Stegostoma tigrinum: one gene and its partner. The protein of the gene in region 1 interacts with the protein of each later gene in a biochemical or structural test. Links are inferred from orthologs where the notes say so. Each region holds a gene or a part of one and is shown in the gene's direction. Other genes may lie near its edges.

Region 1 (7,504 bases):
CGAAATGTCTGAAAACTAACCTTCCAGCTCAGCGAGCAAACTCACATCCAGAACCTCAACCTGAGCTACAAATCTTCTCAAAACTCGCTGGTGTCTCTGCTCTCTGTAGTCAAAATTCACCGTAACCCCAAGGCCTCCGCCACTTCCTCTGGCACTCAGTCCATATACGCACCACATTCCATGTGAAAATGTTGCTTCTCAGGTCCCTTTTAAAAATCTTATCCCTCTACCTTAAGCCTTGAGTCTCGTTTTGAACTCACCTATCCTTGGATAAAAAAGTTTGCGATTCACCCTATTTACTTCTTTCTTGGCTTTCTAAACCTTTACAAGGTCACCCTTCAGCCTTTGACAATCCAGGGAAAACGGCCCCAGCCTATTCAGCGTCTCCCTTTTGCTCAAAGCCTCCAACCCTGGCAATATCCTTGTAAATCTTTTCCAAGCCCTTTCAAGTTTTACAACATCCTTCCTATAGCAGGGAGACCAGAATTGCACACAGTATTCCAACAGTGGCCTGTATAGCCACAATATGACATGCCAACTCCTACACTGACCAACAGAGGCAAGCGTGCCAAATGCCTCCTCCACCACCCTGTCTACCTGCGATTCCACTTTCAATGAACTATGAGACTGCACCTTAAATGTTATGAGGGTTACTGCTTCTTACAGGCAGTGTGTTCCAGATTCTGACCACCCTCATCTCCTCAAAGTCTTTTGACCCTTAACATAAATCTGTGCCCTGGGTCATTGATCGCTCCAAGGGGAGATGTTTATTCCCATACACCCTGTTTATGCTCTCAATTTCCTCTGTTCCAATGTAAACAATCACAGTCTGTCCAATCACTCTTCATAACTGAAACTTTCTAGCCCAGGCAACTTCCTGGTAAATCCCCTCTGCACCCTCTCCAGATGATTTCCTATCTCTCACTGGCATCTTCAGACATCAAGCTTGCCTCCTGAGTGGCCAGTCTCCCACCATCCACTACATGGAGGTGAGGAGTGGGACCAAAATCACAAGTCCTCTCAGGATGAGAATAACTGAAGAATTGTGCCAAAACTCAGGATAGTATTCACTTGACCTGCAAGTTAGAAGGATGAAAGCAGCTCTATCATGGGAAGCCAATAATCGCCATTCCAAAGAGGCTGCTATCCCGTCACCAAGTCACCCTTTATTTGCACGTGGAGAAATTTTTACACTGATCCAGATTTCTCACAGCCAGCTTGCAAAACAAAATTTTACCTGTCCATAACTAGGTACATGTGACAATAATAAATCAAAGCAAAAAATGCTCCACCTGGCTGAATTCGTTACAATCGCTACAGATGCAGTAGCTAAAGGAGTCTCTTCAATTAGTGACAGGCAACAAGTATCAGCATTCTCGATGAAGCTTTATAACAAAGCAAAGGAAATGAAAAGTTTCGACATCAGGAGCAGGACGACATGTGACAGCTGAAAGGACACCTAAACCTTCTGGAGGGCAGTAGACGGTATTGGCTGCCATTCCCACTCCCGCCCAGAAGGTGGTGCTGCAGTGTCACAAGGGTATGGGTGGTGGGCCCCGAGTGGGCGCACGCTGTGGGTGGGGGCGACCCCGGGAAGCAGGTACCACGGGCTGAGGCGTGGGCCACCGTCAGTACCAGGACCAAGCAGGTTCGCAGCTGAATTAACAGTAAAAAAAATGCACTGCGAGCTGCAGCTTTAAGAAGATTTCCCAGAGCAGGATTCTCAGACCTCGTGGCGCAACGGTAGCGCGTCTGACTCCAGATCAGAAGGCTGCGTGTTCGAATCACGTCGGGGTCATCGTTTTTATATAAACTACATCATCTATATATGGAATGACGTGTTTCATTACTTAAGTGCTGCATGCATTCTATACATCTCAAAATTGTTCATTGAACAGGTATTTGCCTATTTTATATTGCTCTGATTTGTTTTATTCAATTAGCTGTAGTCTCACGTTCGCCTCCTGTAGGAATTTCTCCCCCATGATAAGAACTGCAACCTCAGGATTTGGGTAACTGAAACTGGACAGAAAACTAGACCTTAGTCGCTGACTCCAGGCACTAGTTGCTGACTTTGGACAGAAAACTGAACCCTGGACATGGGCATTGGCAAGTGACACTGGTCACTGACACTGGAGTGTGATGCTGAAGTGTTATTGCTTTTTAAAGAGAGTGGTTAAAATTAAACTAAACTTAAGATTTGAGCTGCTCCAATATGGGAATGCATAGTTCATGCATTCAGAAGCAATGACTAACACAGCTCCCAAAAGACTGGAAACTAACATGGTCCAAATGACATTGGTCTACCTAGGGAAGAAGCTACTGAACAGATCAAATGACTCAGATCTGAGTTAGTTCTTCACACACGATGGAAGTGAGGGTGGAGAAGACAGGAGAGAGGGACTTAAGGAGATGTTTTGTATTGAAGAAGGGAAGCCAGCATTTGTCAACTGTTTACAATATTTTTTCTACTTTTTTTATTTTAGTAACACCTCATACTAAATTTGGTATCAAGCTGGAAAAACCTTCAAACATTCAATATGAGATGTCATTGGATCCAGACATGGTAGGGGAAATTTCACGAGGGCTGAAGAGCTGAAGAACACTCAATGATGCTGGGTCAAGCCAGCCTTCCAGCTCCCTGCTTCTTGTGCAAAAACAAAGTTGCTGGAAAAGCTCAGCAGGTCTGGCAGCATCAGTGGAGGAGAAAACAGAGTTAATGTTTCGGGTCCGGGTGACCTTTCCTCAGAACTGCTTCTGTAGTTCTTCCTGATCCCAGGTTCAATGATCATCATATGTGCCAATCTCAATGCCAGCTTAACTGTGGGATTTAAGAATGTTTGTCCATGGCTGGCATTTCAAACCAGAAACAGCATTATGTGCTATAAGACTGACATCCACTGGCTTGAAATCTGTATGGTGAAACAGACCAAACCAGCACAAGTAACAATTTATGTACATCAAGGTTCCAAAACATATAACAGCATATGACAGAAAACATCAATGCACTGACAGCTCACTACTACTGCACTCCCTTCCTGCCCAGCTGTGAGAACCACTGCACCCCAAAAACTGAATTCATTGCTGTCACAAATCTCTAATCATTGCATCTATATGTGATCCTTCAAAGAGGCTCTCTAAGGAATTCCACTGGCAGCCTAAAGGCATTCAAAGACATTTTAAAAGCCTTTTATATTCCAAAAAAGACATAATTTACTACAAATAACAAGGAAAGCGCTTGTTTATTCCAAGGGGAATTGAACATACAAAGTAATGAGTTTATACTTCAGTTATTCAGGGTACTGGTAAGACCATATATGGAGTATTGTGTAAGTATTGGTCACTTTATCTAAGGAAAGGTGTTAATGCAATGGAAAAAACTAAGACAGACAAACAGGGTGCTGAAAGAACGCAGCAAGACAGGCAGCATCTGGAGAAAAGGAGAAATACCCTTCGGGTATTATCCTTCTTCAGAAGTGGATGTGGGGTTAGGGGGAGCTGCAGATAAAGGGAGAAGTGTAGGAGGGGAGGTAGCGGAATGTTGCAGATAAGTGGACACATAGTAGGTACAGGTGAATCCAGTTGGTGGCTAGAAGGGAGGGTCAGTAGCTGGGATGAAAGGGAGGATGTGCGCTGGGTGGGAAGGTTATTTGAAATTGGAGAACTCAATTTTGAGTCTTCCACGGTACCCAGCAGAAGATAAAATGTTGTTGCTCAAATTTGTGTTCTGAGTTACTTGTGACACTGGAGGAGGCTGAGGATGGAGAGTGGGAGGGGAATGAAATGAGCGGTGACCGGGAGGTTAGGTTGGCTGTTACAGGCCAGGCGTAGATGCTTGGTGAGACAGTCTACGTGTGGTCGCTAATCAAGTTTATACCACTGTGAAACCTCTTCAAAGGATGCCCACTTTGAAGGAGTTTTCTCCTTGCCTCAGACATGAACTCAGTGAGTCCCATTTCTCGCTGCCACACCACCACACCGTTAACCCCTCTCTTTATCTGCAGCTCCTCCTACCCCCACATCCAGTCCTGAAGAAGGGTAATACCCGAAAGGTTGCCTGCTCCTTTCCTTCATATGCTGCCTGTCTTGCTGTGCTCTTCCAGCCTCCTGTTTGTCCAGCTTAGATTCCATCATTTGCAGTTTTTTGTGTGTCTCTGATGGAAGAAGCTGAGAGAAGGTTTAGCGCAGACTGCTTTGAGGAAATGAGAAGCTGTCCTGCATCCTGTGGAGCTGTGAGGAAGACAATGTGGACCATGGCCAGGATCACCCTCCTTCTTCCCGCCTGACCCGTTACCCTGGGTTACAGCCCCACCCAGTTACTCCCTCTATCCAATTGGGGAACGTGTTAGTGCGGCCCCAGGGCCAATGACGGCCCGCGTTGTTGGTGGGTGGCAGAGCGGGAGTTGTGAGGCCTAGAGGGAGCTCGAGCCGCGATGCCCGAGTATCTGCAGGACCCGTCGGTGCTGACCAAAGAGCGGTTGAAGAGTGAGCTGATCGCCCACAGCGTGCAGCTGCCGCTCGGGGACCAGCGCAAAGATGTCTACGTCCAGCTTTACCTTCAGCACCTGACGGCGCGGAACAGCGGCCGCGGCACGGACTTCTCCAGCGATGAGGAGGCGGACAGCGGACTGGGGGCAACCCGAGGCCGGGGCCGAGCAGGCAAGGTGAGAAAGCCAGGGAGTGGGTGGCCTGGGACATTAGTAAGCCCTCCATCCCTTTCTCCCCAAGTCCCCGCTCAATGTTTATGAACGCTCCATCAGAATCAGAAAGTGGCGCCAATTTACTCAACTTCCGTTCATGTGTGAAAACCAAAAACCAACTCCACAGGCGAAACTCTTCAAACATAAACGGAAAGTGATGGTGAAACTCTGCGTAGAATTTTTGTTAGAATCCCTGCAGTGTGGAAGCAGGCTATTTGGCCCCTCAAGTCCACACCGACCCTCTGAAGAGCATCCCAGTCTATACCCTGTCCCTGTATTTCCCATCCTAGATACTGTGGGCAGTTTAACATAGCAAATCCACCGAACCTGCACATCTCCACATCGCGGAGAGAAATAATGTTAGCATTTGCTGTCCACTTCAGAACTGAATCTTTTGAAGGAATACATTGACTTCTTCAGAACTTGTGACAATGTTAACTCAGTTCCTCTGTCCATAGATACCACCAGACCTGCAACATTCTCCAACATTCTTTTTGCTCCACAATTCCAGTATCTTCGCTATTTTGCTTTTATTCACACAGGTTCAGTTAATCTTTTGTTTAACTTGCCTTTCCCATTTCACAGTTAGGAAGCATACATACCCACAGCATTCAGTCCCGCTTCTCATTGCGGCACATTGACTGCAAATATCACCAACCGTGACCCAATAACTGACCCAAGTGGTGAAATCCCAGATTTCACCCATCCATGGAAAACATGGACAATGGTTGTCAGCTTCAGGACAGCTAGGCGGAAATGTCGCCATTAGTTCCAGAAGTGGAATATGAGGAACTATCTGTCATTCAGCCTGACACCCGAACATTATTGAATGTCACTCGACTATTATTCAACTAGTTAGGACTCTCCTGGTTCCATTCATATTTTTTGCCATACCCAGAGCATATTTTTCAGTTGTTTCATTTCGTGTTCCCACGTGACTCTCATTTCCTGCTCATCCATCATTTTTGTGCTCATCTCTTGTAGGCTTCTGGCTTTCATATAACCATTATGATGTCAAAATTCTCATCCTGCATTCAAGTCCTCTATGGCCTCACTGTCACATTTTAGTTATGATTTCCTTGGAGACTGACAACTTTTTCAAAGAAGGATACCTACAGAAGGAAAACTGCTGGGCAACTTTCACTGGAGTACACTGACTAAAATTGACAGAATTTAAACATTAGCAAATGAAGACTATTTCAAGTTAAAGGATGAATTACACTTCTAATAGTTGATGCTTCAAAGATGTCACATTTAGTGTAAGCATTCATGACTTCTCACATTTGACAACTATGTCATCTTCATAAGATTTTTAGAGGTAAGAATAAAAGAAGACCATTCAACCAGCTGAGTTCGCTTCTCCATTTAGGGCAATCATGGCTGATCTCATAATTCTCAACTTCACTCTCCTGCCATTTTCCCCATTACACTTGATTCCCTTACTGAATAAAAATCCAATAATGTGAGCTTTTGAATATTAATAACACAGCCTCTGCAGCTTTCTGCGGTAAGGAATTCATGGCTAGAGTTCCCTTTGAGGAAACACCCTCCCTGTATTTGTCTTAAATGGCTGACATCTGACTCCGAGATTAAGCCCTCTGACTATAGACTGTCCTACATTGGGAAACAACTTCTCTGTACCTGCCCTGTCAAGCCCACTCGCTGCCCAGTCAATGGATTTGGCTATCAAGTCACTTTTATTGGCAGTTAGATTTTGTCTACGTACATGAGATATGGTTGACCCTGTCAGGTGCATGTCTAGAGAGCCTGTCTTTTTTTCTTGTGTTATGGCAATCCCAATCTTCTTTTTCTTTTAGACTGTTTATGACTATTTCAGTGCGTGTGATACACAATTACTGTGTTGTGTCTGTTTGTAAGGCGTCCACTCAAATCAATGCCCATCTCTAAAACTGTCTCCTTATCTATGCCTCCTATGTATATTTCTATTGACTAACACTAAGTTAAAGCCGGTTCTTAATAGGTGTTGTTATTCAGCTGCAATCCTAGTTTCACTATTTATCTCATTTCTTAATGGTAAACTTCAACTGAATTTGAATCTAACAGCTGTAACCAACTGGTAGAGCTGATGAATAGTATGCTGGAGTTTTGAGAATTTTAGTAGATAAGAAATAGGAGCAGGGATAAGCCATATAACCCTTTTCCATCATTCCATGAGATCAAAGCACAACATAAAGCTCAATTCTACTTTCCCACTTTTGTTTTTTAGCTGGATCACATTTAGAAATATGGTCACTTCAGATGCAGATTGTAACTCTTTCCAGGGGAATGGCTGGACTGTTGTTCGATGTACTCCACTGTGTCTCTGACAGAAGTTTCTGGTAAAAAGCTGCATGTGATGAACTGTTGCCCAAGACCAGATGTTGTCATAATGCAGCTGGTTTTGAAATGTTACTTCCTAGTTTGAAGTTTTGCTGTGACTTGCTAAAGTTTTTACAGTTGTTGATTCCGCTAAATTACCTTCAAACTGCATTGATAAATGTTACTAACAAATTCAGTGCAAGGATATTTTGCCTTGAAGCTGCTTTGAATAAAAATTATAACTTGCCAGTAGAAGCCAACACTCACTATCTTCCTGTTTGTAGATTGAAAATTGAATTTTTTTTTGCCAGTTATCTTTCAGTAATTTCCTATTCTTTGCAACAAATGTGTAACTCCTAATCTGGGGGCAGGGCAGTACTCAAAGGCTTCCAATTATTAAATTATTGTCCTCAGCCATAAACAGCTACATTTATCCCTTCGACCATCACCTGAGCAATAAACAATTATTCAGCTACCTCGTTTGT
Region 2 (8,419 bases), on another chromosome or scaffold:
CTTGATATCTTCACAACATTCTTCAAATATGATGGCAAAAGATGTGATCCAACAGCGGCGTTTTCTCCTAAGTCAACATGCCCAGTATTGAAGTGCTAATGGCTCAAAATCAGCTCCGCTGGCAGTATATACCATGTGCATGGCTGACCCCAGAATCCCAAAACAACTGCCCTACTTGGAACTTAGCTGTGGCACGTCTCTTCCAGCTCGATAGCATAACTACTTTAGGGATGTTTTCCAGTCATTGCTGCTGACCCATGGGAGTATCTGTATTACCAACCAAAACAAAAAAGGTTCAGTCAGGGAGTCAGCAAACACTCCAAAAGAATTGATTAAGAATTTTTAGAGTTGAAGTCAAAGTACTGAAGAAAGGGCATAAATCTCCAATACTCCAAGTACTACCCATTGCACATAGAATCAGAATTCCTGCATTGCAAATAGAGGCCGTTCAGTTAGTCAAGTCTGCTCCAACCACCCGAACAGCATTCCACCCAGATCAAGTGCCGTTCCTCCCCCCACCTTATCCTTGTAATCCCACATTTACCATAGCTAATCCACCTAATCTGCACATCCCCGGACACTATGGATCAATTTAGCATGGCCGATCCACTGAACCTGTACATGTTTGGACTATGGGAAGAAACTGGAGCACCCAGAGGAAACCCACACAGACACAGGGAGAACATGCAAATTCCATACAGATGGTCACCCAAGGCTGGAATCAAACCTGGATCTCTAGCACTGTGAGGCAGCAGTGCTAATCACTTGAGGCACCATGCCACTCTTCCATGTGAGGTTCGTCACAGAGTTTGAAGCTCACATGTTTGTGCTCCATATGAGCTTCCACCCACTTTATTTCATCTGACCAGATTATTATATGCATCAATTTCCATTATGTCAATATCGAACTTTCGCTTAAATGCACCAAGTTATTTGTCTCAACTGTTCTATGTTTGCAAGTTCCACATTTTCTTTACTGTCTGAGTAAGAAGTTTCTTGTAAATTATTTATTGGATTTATTATTGAGTAAAATATACTTATGGCTTCTGGTTTTGGACCTCACCCCTTCTCAATTGACGATGATGCCGACACAGGATCACAAGTTTCTGCTATATGACCAAACAGGTCCATTTCAACCTGTAGATCTTTGGGCACATGCGTCAAGCTATCCCAACAGATAGCAAGATCCTGAGTACAGGGTTTTCTTTTTTCTCATTCCTTATCTACTGCCACCTGCCCAATTACTAACAGTAAGTGTTAAGACTGAAAGAATGACCCAGTTGGATGGACAAGTTATTGCTATCATGCACAATTGGTAAGAACTTATCCCGGTCATTAGCATCAATACTGCTGCACTTCAAGGAGAGCTTCAGGAATTGGTACAGAAGGATGAACTAAGGAAACTCACAATCACTAAAGAAGATGTACTGACTAAATTGTTGGTGCTAAGTAGACGGGTCCTGACTCAAAACGTCAACTTTCCTGCACCTCTGATGCTGCCTGGCCTGCTGTATTCCACCAGCTCTATACTGTGTTACTTCTGACTCCAGCATTGGCAGTTCTTACTATCTCTTCTTGACGAGGTTTGGATTGTTTTCGCTAGAGTTCAGACGAATGAGGGGTATCTCATAGAGACTTATAAAATTCTAACAGAACTGGACAAGGAGGATGCAAGGAGGATGTTCCTGATGATGACAGTGTCCAGAATCAGGGTCACAGTATGAGAATTTGGAGTAGACAATTTAGGGTGGAGATGAGGAGACATTTCTTCACACAAAGAATGGTGAGCCTGTTGAATTCATTAACACAGGAAGTAGTTGATGTCAAACATTATGTGTATTCAAGAGGTGACTAGATATAGCACTTGGAGCAAATGGGATCAAAAGTTATGGAGAGAAAGAAGGATTAGGCTATTGAGTTGGTTGATCAGCCATGGTCGTGCTGAATGGTGGAGCAGGCTCGAATGGCCAAATGGCCTTCTCCTGCTCCTGTCTATGTTTCTATGTTCATGTTTCTATGTTTGACTTTTTAAATCAGGTGAGGAACTATATGTTATTTAATTATGGATGGTTAGGGAATATATTTCATAAAGAAAGCCATATGTCACTGTTCAAAACTGAGATAATTGATCATGGTTTTGTTATTATTTTACTGTTTCAGTTAATATAAACTTAGCATAACATGTATGGGAATGTTTTGAAGTAAATGGCTTTTTATCAAATATAGTTATGTTTTAAAGTGGCTTAGTTAGGTAACAAAGTGTGTAACAACCATATTGAGTATATATGTGTGTGTACGTGCATCTGAACTATGTATATGTGTCATTTCGAACAACGGGAATGATGATTAATCACTAAAGGGTGACAAAATCTAAGCAAATGCACACATTGTTCATTGATTCCAGCACGTCTTGGTAAAGATCTATGGAGTTAGTAAACTAAGAGAGACAAGCTGTTATAAAAGGGGTGATCTTGCAAAATAATTGATGTGAAAGAATGAATCACATTACTATTGGAAGTGATACCAGTAAGTTGACCATTGCTTCAAAATAAATCATTCAGGAATAAGGCAGATAGTACCTAGCCAATTCAATACTGACCATGAGATGTTCATGTACTAATCAATGGGGTGGCACAGTGGCTCAGTGGTTAGCATTGCAGCCTCACAGTACCAGGGACCAAGGTTCAATTCCAGCCTTGGGCGACTATGTGGAGTGTGCATATTCTTCCTGTGTCTGTGTGGGTTTCCTCCAGGTGCTCCAGTTTCCTCCCACAGTACAAAGATGTGTAGGTTAGGTGGATCAGCCACGCTAAATTGCCCATAGTGTTCAAGGGTGTGTGGGATATAGGGGAATGGGCCTGGGTGGGATGCTTCAAAGGGCAGAGTGGACTTGTTGGGCCGAACAGCCTGTTTCCACACTGTAGGGAATCTAATCTAGTGAGCCAATTAGAGTTTAGAATGCCTCAGATCATGTAGAGCCAGGGTTAGGACTGCGTTTTAATGGTTCAATTCATAAGAAGCTAAAAGGCAGAAGGAGAATTTCAGTCAACAAAACAGAATGAGAGGCCTGTGCCCAGTTAACCCATGTCACAAAGTGGTATTCTAAACTGGATTGACTATAAATTTACTGTTTATTAACTACTATTTCTTATGTACTGGTTATCAAAAGCTTAATAAATTCTTTAAAACTTGTGAAAACATATTTGTACTTGGAATAGGACTTGTAAGTATTCAGTTCTTTAAGACTAAATTTGAGAGAGCCAGTCAATAATTGTAATTGACTGACGTCTTGTAATTCAAGTTAAAGTGCACCCCGAAATCTTACAGCAACAGCACACACAAATGATGTTAAAATGAAAATGGCAATGCAAAACAAAAAAAGCCCAAAGAATAAAAAACATCAAAACAAAAATATGTTAAGCAAGATGTCTTAAATTGTGGACTTGCTTTATAATCTTCTGTATATATGTAAAAAGTCAAAAGCCAAGAAAAGACAGATGGATTATTTTGTGACAAGTGTGAAATGACCTCCTTTGGCTGGAAAAGTGGAAAAGTAGATTTAAGTTGAGAAACTGGTAAATGCTAATAATATTCAGTGGGACCAGTGTGCGCTTCTACAAAAATCACAGGAAGTTAACGTGTAGGTACAGCAAGTCATGAGGAAAGCAAATGAAAATATGAAAACACCTTTATTGCAAGGGATTGGAGTATAAAAGCAGAAAAGCCTTACTGCAATTGTATAGGACCTTGGTCAGTCAGCAAGTGTATTAATGTGTAATTTTGGTTTCCTATCCGAGGAAGGATGGATTTGTCTTAGAGGCAGTGCACCGTAGGTTAATTAGACTGACTCTGGTATGAGGAGATTGTCCCATACAAAAAAATTGAATACACTATATCTATATATCCATGACTTCTAACATCCTACATCTATACAACATCTCTAACATCATGAAAAGTTCCAAGGTACTTCACAGGAGAATGATAAAATAAAGATACAGTCACATAAGGTCATGTATGAGATCAGATGGCCAAAAGCTTGGCATTAATAAGAATTTTAAAGAAAGAAAGAAAGAGGATTGGAAATATGAGTGGAAAGAAGAGGAAATTTCAGAGCTTAGAGCTAAGGTAACTGGAAGTACTAGTGGTGGAACAATAGGGAACGCATATGATACCTATTCTGGAGTGTAAAAATCTTGCTAAAACTATATAAGGTACTATTCAGATAACAGGTGGAATATTGTGAACAGTTTTATCTAAGGAAAGATACACTGGCATTGGAGGTAGTCTAGAGAAGGCTTGTTAGGTGATCCCAGCTTTGGAGGGACCATCTTATGGGGAGAGGTTGAGTAGGCTGGGCCTGAATTCTCTAAAGTTTAAAAGAATGAGAAGTGTCCTGACTGAAACATTCAAGATTTTTGGGGAACTTGATGTGAAGGGTTGTGTTTTCTATGGGAGAATCCAGGACCAGAGGTCATAATCTCAAAAGAAAGGATTCCCTTTTAAAACAGAGATGAGGAGAGATTCTTCTCTCAGAGAATAGTGAATTTATGGAATTTTTTAACCCAGAGGCCTGAGATTCCTAATCAGTCATGGAATCAAGGGTTACAGAGAAAAGGCTGTAAAGTGGAGTTGAGGATTATCAGACCAGCCAAGAATGGCAGAGCAGACTCACCAAGCTGAAAGACCTACTCCAGCTTCTATGGTTTTATGGCCGTCTTATGATTTATCTCCCACTACTCAAACAGTGCAATGAACCTCATTAGAAGTCGAACAGTTTTAGACTAAAAAATGTAAACTGCTTCCTCGTTTCTCCATTGACCTGCTGAGCATTTCCAGATCTTTCTGTTTTCAGATCACTCGTGTTCTTGTGAAAATAAACAATTGTTTACCAATATGCTGTACCATTTACCTTTTTATCATCGAAGCTGTACGCGTTCACCATATGGTGAAATCCCTGTTCACGAAAGATTTATGCACATACAACCTTAACGGTTTATCGATTTTCGTCAGCACGATAAATATAAACGAGAAGCTGTTCAAATAACAAAATCTCATAAATTCCGAACCTTAAGTCATGTTTAATAAAACAATTCGACTAATCCATTCAACTTCTTTCACCCTCCAGTCAACCTATTACAATATTCTCCTAATACGGAGAGCAGTTCAATATGATGCGATACATGGGTCATATCATTCAATATAAGCATCATCACATCTACAATTATCGCTGCACCGCAGCAACACGGATTCTGAGAAACAAAACCTCTCCACGATCAAACAACTGTAATTCCTGGTTAACTAATTCTCAACGGATGCATTTGGCCTTATTTAAGTCATAAGCGGAGAACATGTTGCAGCTATACGGTGATTTACATTGGAAAATTAATACTTGGGAAACTTTACAGTGGACGGTGTTTAAGGACCGGTCTAGTCTCGCGGTACAATTGGCCCCTGCAGATAGTCACGTTGTGTGTCTCCAACACCAAATCCAGGAGCCATTTTAACAGCGGGAGCTAGTGATCGTGCAAGAGAAGCGCGAGCACAGAACAAGGGGAAAGGAAAATCAGGTGCTCGCGCTTCTCGCATTGCTTTGGTTATTTTGTTTGAGGAAGAAAAACATTGCGCGTTCACTTCATTTGTTTGCTTTAGTTTTTATTTACAAAATAAAGTTTAAACAAAAACCACTGACTGGAAGTTATGGCGACGGCTACTCCAAGGAGCCAGCCGCGTCCAAGCGGCCGGAGTGCAGCCAGCTCCCCGCTCAGTCCGACCCGCATTTCCCGGCTGCAGGAGAAAGAGGAACTGAAGAACCTCAACGACAGGCTCGCCGTATACATCGAAAAGGTACGCTCGCTGGAGTCCGAGAACAGTATCCTGCAGTTGCAAATCACCGAGAGGGAAGAAGTGACCAGCCGAGAGTTGACCGGCATCCGGAACCTGTACGAGAATGAGCTGGCGGACGCTCGCCAATCTCTGGACGAGACTGCGAAAGAGAGAGCGCGGTTGCAGATAGAGCTGGGGAAACTCCGCGGGGACTACGACAACGTGCAGCAAAAGTAAGGCTGACTGAAATTTGGGGTGCACACCTCTTCGATGGTAAAGTGTAATTTTTTTAAGGCGGATAAATGTTTACTTTAGGAGTTCACGTTAGCGATGTGTACTCCTATTGGCGTACATGTGGATTAAAATGTGTATGTGAGCTTCATTTAAATTCTAGTATCGAACTAGTGTCGAGGGGAAAATATTACTGGATTTGTGCGGTTTGTTTGTTACCGATGGACGTTTTAAAATTACTTTATTGACGGTAGTGATTTGAGATTTTTCCGTTTTAAGTAGACTAGCCTGTCCTTTTAGAGGCACTAAGTTCATTGTGTTTGTATAATTTTACCGTATCGTATTTTCATAAGGAGTGATTGGGTACTCGGACGAATATCTGCGGCAAGTTCCTAGGGAATTCCTTGATGTAGAGTTGGTCGGTTTGTACTGAACAGCTTTTTTTAAAAAAAACAATGCCCAGACTCCCATCTTTTTCCAATAAACCATTGGACAGATGGTGTCTGAGTCTTCGACATCTCAAACAGCAATTTGTTATGGTTTTAAGTGATATATTTTCTAGCCTGTGAAATCTGAATCTTTAAAGCCAGCGTCCACGGTTTTATATAGGAATTGTTTCTTATCTCTAATTACATACCAGTTGTAATTGGCGCTGGTTGAATGGACCCGTCTGTCAAGTTATTACACAGGCTGCCCTTATATGGGCTGAAGGCTCTGGCGCTTTCTACTATCTTTTCTTTTTGGTGTGGGGGAAGGGATCCCTAAAATCTCAGCTCTTCGAATACTACATCATAGATTCGATTTGTGTTTGTACTGTTAAAATGGCGAAGTAGTTCGAGTTCCATAGTAAACATTTATTTATTTTTGTTCACTGGGGGGTGTGTTTTGACGTGGGGGGGGGGGTAGTGATGAGTTGGTATTGGACAATAGCCATCCAACGCGTGGAAGCGCCGCTGTGCAAACAAAGAGCGGCTCCGTTCAGCCGCAGGCTGGGTGCCTCCGAAACCAATTGAATGAGAACTTTCCATAAATATCCCCCAGAGAACTATGCCGCACGTAAGGTTACATTGTAACATTTCTCGTTTTATTGCGCTATGCGGGTTCGAAGGGTAGTAGCCGAGAATGTGTATAGCCTGATAGGAATAAAGAAGCTTTATCACCCTCTGAGGGAGGCGTGCTGTAAGGGTGACCGCATCTACAAGTATTTTTTTAAAAAGTGTCACTTTTAATATTATCTTTATATACATTATTCACAACTTCCGCGACACCACCCGTCATCGCCACCACATTCTCCATTTTTTTGTGTTAACAGTGGCAAGAAATAGATTTTCGTGAAATCTCCAGGCGCTCTTACTTAGATTCCCCTGTTTACTGTGCTCGGTCATAGATCATTATTCTCTCCACCCCCCGCAGGTAAGTTTCTGTGCGATGTTTGTTTGCAACAACTGATCAGAAATTGTTTACAACTAAGGGCGGTTGTTGGATACATGGTAGCTTCGTTAATGCATCTATCAATTATTTCATAAATGATTCAATTTTTTTCCACGCTCTAGTGCGGTTGAGTATGCTTACACTTGTGATTTACGATATGAAGGTGAAAAATCATCCTTTGTTGTATGGAATCGCCTTTTTGACATTAATTTTAAGGTCTGAGATAAAACGAAGGGAGACATTTGAAGATAATAAAGTGCGAAGCTGGATGAACACAGCAGGCCAAGCAGCATCTCAGGAGCACAAAAGCTGACGTTTCGGGCCTAGACCCTTCGTCATCCTCTGAGGTCTAGGCCTGAAACGTCAGCTTTTGTGCTCCTGAGATGCTGCTTGGCCTGCTGTGTTCATCCAGCTTCGCACTATTATCTTGGAACTGCAGATGCTGGAGAATCCCATTATCTCAGAGTCATTTGAAGTCTGCTTGGATAGCTTGCTGCGTGGTGTCATAGCTTGATGTTGAAGCAGCCCTGATAATGTTGCCTTTAAAGTGAGAAGGTGCAAGGTGACCACGATAGCAGCCTCTTTGCCAACGGTGGATAGTCTGAACATTTCCACAGTCCCTGAAATTTTAAACTGTTCCTCTTTCTTTCCAAGGTGGAAAAGTTGAGCGCTCTGGAAGACCACATGGCTTACTTCTGCTCTTATGAAATCAGGGCTGCATTGATCATCACCCATTCTACTTTCCAGTCCTTTCCCAAATTAACCCTCAATTCTCTGACTGATTCCAAGACCTGTTTATCTCAGCCTTAATCACAAATACAGCAAGACCTGGGCAACACTGAGGCTTGAATCGAAAGTACAAGTAAGATTCATGGTGCATGTGCCAGGCAATAACCATTTCCAATAAGAGAAAATCTAACCACCATCCTTGAAT

What was found.
Region 2: the proteins of lamina-associated polypeptide 2, isoforms beta/delta/epsilon/gamma-like (region 1) and lmnb1 form a complex in vitro, tested with the Homo sapiens proteins (2 studies listed by BioGRID). The link is inferred for Stegostoma tigrinum from reciprocal best matches to the Homo sapiens genes TMPO and LMNB1.

What each region holds. Positions count from the first base shown.
Region 1 is NC_081378.1:53,061,220-53,068,723, forward strand, and holds the start of lamina-associated polypeptide 2, isoforms beta/delta/epsilon/gamma-like, read left to right. Parts: upstream 1-4,365; 5' UTR 4,366-4,433; coding exon 4,434-4,664; intron 4,665-7,504. UniProt on the Homo sapiens protein: May help direct the assembly of the nuclear lamina and thereby help maintain the structural organization of the nuclear envelope. Possible receptor for attachment of lamin filaments to the inner nuclear membrane.
Region 2 is NC_081356.1:68,866,381-68,874,799, reverse strand, and holds the start of lmnb1 (lamin-B1), read left to right. Parts: upstream 1-5,264; 5' UTR 5,265-5,697; coding exon 5,698-6,056; intron 6,057-8,419. UniProt on the Homo sapiens protein: Lamins are intermediate filament proteins that assemble into a filamentous meshwork, and which constitute the major components of the nuclear lamina, a fibrous layer on the nucleoplasmic side of the inner nuclear membrane.